2 linked regions of the Oryzias latipes genome follow. The protein of the gene in region 1 purifies or fractionates together with the protein of each later gene. This does not show direct contact. Links are inferred from orthologs where the notes say so. Each region holds a gene or a part of one and is shown on either strand. Other genes may lie near its edges. The genes, in order: uncharacterized protein LOC105354722 and cep97.

Region 1 (3,826 bases):
TCTTTATTCTGGTTTCTCTTTATTTTATTTATTTTATTTCCACTGGTGTTTGTCTTTGTCTATTTTATTGTGCAGGGCTAATTTAATGTATTTTATTGTATTTTATTGCATTTTTTTTGTTTTTATGTACAGCACCTTGAGCTGTCTTTGTTGTCATGAAAGGTGCTACATAAATAAAATTAATTTAATTTAATTTATTGAGGCACTGAAATTGTCAATATAAATCAAGAAATTAAAGTTTATCAAATCAATGAATATTTATTGAATTATTGCTGGCATTGATGTGCTCTGTCTTTAGAGTAAACAATATTTTAAGCCTCTCAGTGGAACCAGCTTGAAGAGGGTTTTAGTCTTGCCATATGGCAACTTTATTTAGGCTTATGGGTAATCTACAGTAGGAGTAAAGTGTTGCTCACCCATGTTATCTATATTTATCTTATTTGCCACTGTAAAGAAATGTGTGATGACTGCACAGTGCTGCTTTGGCACTGTCCTGCACAAGTATCAAATTTCCACCACTGCATTACGCCACTGCATGCTTTGCCTAGGACCAAGCGAGCATGCCGGTTGCAGTGACAAAGTGAGAGACCATTGGCTGTAATTCTGAGAGAAATCCTTATATTTAGTTTTTCCAGCATACCTACTAGGTTGTAGTTTTTTAATTAATTTTGATCCATGAATATGCCACCTGGCTGGGCATTGTTTTTATCTAATGTGACCAGTTAATGAAGAAACCAAAATGTATTTTTTCTTCTAGAGAGCAGCCGGAGAATAGGCATGAGATGACATGACCTTTTGGTTGTACGGGTGTTTGAGAACCTTTGGACTAGAACATCACTATGCTAGGTGAGTAAATGTAGGACATCAGCGGAACTGGTCTTTCATTATCTAAAACTGTTTTCCTCTTTGTCTTTTACTGCCTTTAGGTTCATTTTGTTGGGTGTTTTTCATGCAGACCACCTTTGAGCATTGAAAATAGAGGATAATCCTCTCCTAGGAATTCGCTCAATGGAAGATTGGATCCAACTTTTCCATTTGGTCAACTTTGACAAAAATATTAACCCAAACTACGGATGTGATGCTCAGGACTTTATACCAATAAATGGGAAACTCAGTCAAAATTCCCATGAAACTTCGGAAGACAAAGTGAGAAATAAATGTAGAAATTCTCAGGAAATCACGGATACGTTACCTTTTAATGTTTGCAGACGTCTCATCTTAACTAATGAAAACTCAGCCAACGTGAGGCTGTTGTCTGGTCTATCTAGTCTTACACTATCTAGTCCTGTTATTTATGTCAGTCAAAGTCATGATGTAGAAGATGGTTCAATGAAAGTAAGCAGATTGAACAAACCTGTACAGCTTGAGATTGATGGCAAACATCTGGGAAAATGTGTCCGGAGAAGGACTAAGAAATACAAACTGGAGGATAATCGTTCTCTGGGTAATGATCATAATAATGACACCATAAAGTCAGAATTAACAGGAGGAATTCGGAAGTTTAACTGCGATACCATATCAACAAAGAACAGCAAGATATTACACAGCCCTGCACACGTGACACCAGAGTCGTGTAAGAAAACATTTGAAAATAAATGTACAAAAGTCTCCACAAAAGAGAAAATGTTGAATTCAAGCTTGACTAAGCCCCCACCTGTACATGGAGCAAAGACAACAAACAGCTACAGCAATATTCAGGCCTGGAGTTCTCCCTTTGCTTCAAACAAAAAGTAAGTTGCATCAAATGTTGTTACTGCTGTTTTTTGGTTTATTTCTACTTTGTTCTCATTCAATAACACAAAACAAATGCTTCTTGCAGACTTTAAGCTTTTATTTTCTTTGTGTGACAGACAGACTGTTGGGCAACAAATTACTGTTTGTGTGAGGAAAAGACCTTTGTCACATGCAGAGTGCAAAGGAGGAGAAGTTGATGTTGTGACAGCAACAGACGGACAGTGTGTAATTGTACATGAAAGCAAAGAAAGTGTGGATCTTACACCCTACATATTACAGGTAGACGTGCACATAGAGGATGCTGATGGATCCTTGTACTTGAAAAATTTCACACTTTTGTGGGGGTTTTTTCTACATGCACACATGCATTGTTTCATTTGTTAGATGCTAATTTTGTGCCAGTTTTACTGATTTCTTTTTCCATCTTGCCTCTTAAACTGTAGCAAAAGTTTTACTTTGACCATGTTTTTGGGGAGGAAAGCTCCATCAAGGAAGTATATCAGAAAACAGCTTATCCTCTGGTGCAGCACATGTTTAGGGGGTAGGTAAGCACAGATTTGCTCACACTAAAATTGTGCATTATCCACCTTTCTCTCCAATTCTTTTATCAGACTCTAGTGTCCAAATCTCTCTTTTGTTAGCTTCTCGTTTGTGTTATGTGTGTGCAGAGGAAATGCCACATGCTTTGCATATGGACAGACAGGGGCGGGGAAGACCTACACCATGCTGGGGTCATCCGCTGTTACACCTGGTCTATACACTCTGGCAGTTCAGGACATCTTTGCTCACCTGACCACTGCACATTCATACCCACCCCTCCTGGTGTATGTTAGTTTCTTTGAAATCTACTGTAGTCAGCTGTATGACCTGCTGGATCACAGAAAAAGGTGTGATACAAGATTTAATATGCTGAGACTGTTTGGTGATATTCTACATTTAACAAAAGTTTTTTCTCTTTAAACAAATTTCTGTTACATTGAGGTTGTTTGCCAGAGAAGATGGACAGAAAGTCGTCCATATTTCAGGGCTGCGTGAAATCAGAGTGGACTCTGCCAATTCCCTACTAGAGGTTGGTTCTCTCTGCTTTATGTCACGCTCTGTTGCCCAGTTTTTTACTCTAGTTAGCAGCCAGCCATAGATACAACACAAAAATACAATGGAATTTCAAGCAAGGATGAGGAAACCAAAGGAAACAAAGGGTTAGGAAAACAAAACAAAACAAATAAAACGCACAAGAAAGTTTCCGTGAATATAGATTATTCACCAAAAATCATCTAACGTTTGGTTTGTGTAAGTGATATTTACAGAAAATTTGAAAGTTATAAAAAAAACTGGTGTAGGACTTTTCCCTGCCATTACTTTCACCAGGTGGTTTCAAAGGGAACAGCACAACGAACACAAGGAGTGAGTGGTGTAAATTCACTGTCCTCTCGCTCCCATGCTTTACTTCAGATTCAACTGAGAGAGCCAAACCAGCACACAGCGGGAAGGTGAGATACATCAAAAATGTTTTATTACTTAAGCAAAGTTATTTTATTCCATCAAATATTTTTATTTATCTTTTCTGTATAAGTTTTAACTTCACAAAATCTGTCAGATTTGCCAAGACAAAATAGTGCAGAGGTGAACCACAAAGAAAAAGCTGTAATGTATTGTTGTGTGCTTCAGGATCCAAATTGTTCAGCTGTCCCTTCAGTTCCTCTTAGGGGACTAGTGGAATTTGACATCTTTTTTTGTTGTTACTTTTTTCACCCGATGCACAGCAGAATAACTTGAGTAAAAATTGTCAACAAGTTCCACCAGGTTTTAACAGATTGACAAAAAGCTGTCAATAGTTTTGGGAAAATATCAACTGAAAGAAGTTGCTTTCTTGAATGTGTGCAGAATGTGGTTTGTGGACCTGGCAGGAAGTGAAAGAGCATCAGATGCCAAAGAACGAGACAAGCAGAGACGAATGGAGGGAGCAGAGATCAACCAGAGTCTGTTGGCTGTAAGTTTTAAAGACAGATTCTCACTCAGCCAGAAACTCCATAGGATGTCTGAGGTTATAAATCGTTGTTTCTAATCCCTTTAGCTCAAAGAATGTATTCGT
Region 2 (3,061 bases), on another chromosome or scaffold:
TTTTAATTGACATTTGAAGCTATGGTCAGATAAAATACAGATTCAGCTACAACACGAGAGAAATCTCAATCTATTTAATAAACAAAGGACATTTTTTTCATTTTAGAGAATCATAGTAAATTTTTTGGGAAATAATTTCAAAGGCAAAGGTTTCTTTTATTTTGCTTCCTCCAGCCTTCATTACATCTGGGCTGGATTACTGGAATTCTCTTTATTTTGGAGTCAGCCAGTCGTCCGTCTCGCGTGTCCGGTACGCTGCTGCTCATGTTCTGGTTGGAGCCACATCCTAGCTACCTTTCACTGTCTGCCTGTGGTTTTAGAGCTCATTTAAGATTCTGTTTTGAAATCTTTAAATAATCGTACCTTCATACCTGTCTGAGCTTCTCCCTAAACCCCAGCTTGGTGTCAGGTCAGCCTCTCTTGGACGTGCTGAGGTCAGGAAGAAGCTCAGACTGGAACGAGCGTTTTCACTATGTGCACCGAAGCTGTGGAACGTGTTACTGAGTGCAGCAGGGATCCTCACTGTCCTCATTTGGGGAAAAAAAAACAAAAAAACACATTTTTATAGTCAGGCCTTTGACACAGCATTTTTATTTTACACTGTTTTACTTTAGGTTTACACTTTTAGTTGTTTTTAATGTTTTGAGCTTTAAATGTACACCACCTTGTTCTGACTGTGGTTATCTGAAGGCGCCATATAAATTATCATGAATTAAAATGAATATGAATTTTTTTTGGATTTGTAAAGTTCAAAGTTAAACCTCGATCACCTTTAGCGTCTTTCTCTTGCAGTCGTTTCCATTTGTTTTTCCGTAACTCAGTTTTAAAACCTAAAGCGGTTAAGAGCACAACACTCGTCTTAATAGCTGTAAAATCTGAACACAACTTCCAGTTTAGCTCTCGTTGAAGCAGGTAAACAACACAATTCGTTTTGATCTGTTCACATTATATTTGTCTTTTGCTTTTTTATCTAAACACATTTGCAAATAAACGATAAGCTATGGGCTCCAATAAATTGTTGTAATTTATTTCAAACTCAGCAGGTTCAAAAGTTTTTAAACATAAGTGTTGACATAAATATTGAAGTACATTTTAGGATGGTAGTTGTTTTAGTTTTTCTGCAGTTTTATTTTTCAGGTTGTAAAGCTGAATCCATGGGTTTGAATGGATTTAACAGCACTCTCATGTGTGACAGGTGATTGAACAGCTGTACAGCTGTGTGTCTCTTCAACACCTGGACTTGTCTGACAACAACATTTCCACCATTGGAGATCTGACTAAACTGGCTGCATTAAAGGTCAGCGTTCAAACTGACACTCACGCTTACTTAAAACAACACACCGGCTGTGAAGATGTTTGGTTGGTGACTTTCCCCGTTGGTGCTGCAGACACTTCTGCTTCATGGAAACAGCATTACAACACTCCGCACTGTTCCCGCCCACCTGCCGGCGCACCTTTCCATTCTGTCGCTGGCAGAAAACGAGATCAGGGACCTGAATGAAGTAAGTCCTGGGTTTTGATACAGCTTTCCTTCCACAACGAAAGCATCTGAAAGTCATTTTTCTTCTGATTCGTGTTTAGGTGTCGTACCTGGCATCACTTCATGAGCTGGAGCAGCTGTCCATAATGAGCAACCCCTGCGTTATGGCGACTCCTTCCCTGCCAGGTTTTGATTATCGACCGTACATCATGAGCTGGTGTCTGAATCTGAAAGTCCTGGACGGCTATGTGGTGACTCAAAAAGAAGGGTGTGTACGCTCTAGATAAAAAAAAAAAAAGACATGTTTGAGTGTTTGAAATAATTAATTTGTACTATAAATATTTTTCTGATTCAGTCTGAAAGCTGAGTGGCTCTACAGTCAGGGTAAAGGTCGTTCATTTCGTCCAGGGCAGCACGTCCAGCTGAGTCAGTATTTGGCGACTGTTTGCCCTCTGACTGCATCACCAGCGCTGGAGACGGCAGAAAACGCCAAACTAGAGAAGATCCTCAGCAAGCAGAGGTGAGGATCTCTACTGTTGTTCATCATTCCCTCCATGCTCCTCCTACGAGCATCATATGTAACCATTCTGCATAAAAATATCTCTAAGACTGATGCTCTGGTCTTAGGTTTCATCAAAGACAGCTGTTAGAGGAGACCCAGGGAGGCTGCCTCAGTCCTCCACGTCCAACCCAGCTTGACGTGGAGAGGCACAGCCCTTCACATCCACTAGGGGGAGCTCAAGAGGAGAAAGAAGTCACCACACCAGGACCAGCTGATCCTCCATCAGTCCTGGAGAAGGGTGAGGGGGCTTTGCAGCTCTGTGTGCTAGTTGCTGCTTGTTTGGAAGGAAATGTGAAGTGGATTTTCCTCTTTGCCACCTTTCCTGCTTAGAACCAGTGGTGCAGTTCAACACCTGGGTGAGCTGTGACTCCGCTCATGCATCGCTGCCGGTGGTTCACAGCCAAAGGCTCGCAGAGGAACACATTTATTTGGAGGATGTGCAGACCGATGAGGACAAACTCAACAGCAGCATGCTGTCGTCTGAGTCCGTGTTTCTGCCCTTCACATCAGACACAGACCTGCACACGACCCACACCGACACCGAAGACGAGACTGAGACGTTTGAGCCCGATTCTCTGGCTCTGAAACGGCCGGCACAGCCTAAGACGCACAGGACGCGCCACCCGCCAACAGAGAAACCGGACCAGAAGACTATAGAGAAAGAAGCTGGCGCCATCACACCTGCACCGCCAGCCTTCGGAGCCGGAGCGCCACTCGATGGTCCTGAGGCGTCCACCGACAGAGCAGAAATAAAAGGAGAAGTGGGTTTGTTTTTGAGAAAAACGATGACAGAAGCAGACAAAGCAGCTGTTAAAATCCAGTCCTGGTGGAGAGGACAGCACACGCGATGTTGTCACCCCACTGCTAAAGAGGTGCGCGGTGAAATCCGCCTGCGGAGGATGCAAGATCACATCGTCTTTCTGACGGACAAATTAGAAAAGTAAGTGACTCAACAAGCGTCTGTCACACACATTCACCTCTTTGTTTGAGGTGGAAAGTTGTCCATGAGTGTTCATGCT

The links.
Region 2: the proteins of uncharacterized protein LOC105354722 (region 1) and cep97 purify together in Homo sapiens (co-immunoprecipitation; 4 studies listed by BioGRID and IntAct, with this or other methods). This does not show direct contact. The link is inferred for Oryzias latipes from reciprocal best matches to the Homo sapiens genes KIF24 and CEP97.

The regions. Positions count from the first base shown.
Region 1 is NC_019867.2:12,035,748-12,039,573, reverse strand, and holds part of uncharacterized protein LOC105354722, read left to right. Parts: intron 1-169; exon of another isoform or gene 170-757; 5' UTR 758-846; intron 847-926; 5' UTR 927-1,008; coding exon 1,009-1,730; intron 1,731-1,850; coding exon 1,851-2,013; intron 2,014-2,177; coding exon 2,178-2,275; coding exon of another isoform or gene 2,276-2,279; intron 2,280-2,402; coding exon 2,403-2,621; intron 2,622-2,715; coding exon 2,716-2,803; intron 2,804-3,102; coding exon 3,103-3,224; intron 3,225-3,618; coding exon 3,619-3,724; intron 3,725-3,808; coding exon 3,809-3,826. UniProt on the Homo sapiens protein: Microtubule-dependent motor protein that acts as a negative regulator of ciliogenesis by mediating recruitment of CCP110 to mother centriole in cycling cells, leading to restrict nucleation of cilia at centrioles.
Region 2 is NC_019879.2:10,880,712-10,883,772, reverse strand, and holds part of cep97 (centrosomal protein of 97 kDa), read left to right. Parts: intron 1-1,195; coding exon 1,196-1,297; intron 1,298-1,388; coding exon 1,389-1,502; intron 1,503-1,581; coding exon 1,582-1,748; intron 1,749-1,835; coding exon 1,836-2,000; intron 2,001-2,107; coding exon 2,108-2,280; intron 2,281-2,372; coding exon 2,373-2,982; intron 2,983-3,061. UniProt on the Homo sapiens protein: Acts as a key negative regulator of ciliogenesis in collaboration with CCP110 by capping the mother centriole thereby preventing cilia formation. Required for recruitment of CCP110 to the centrosome.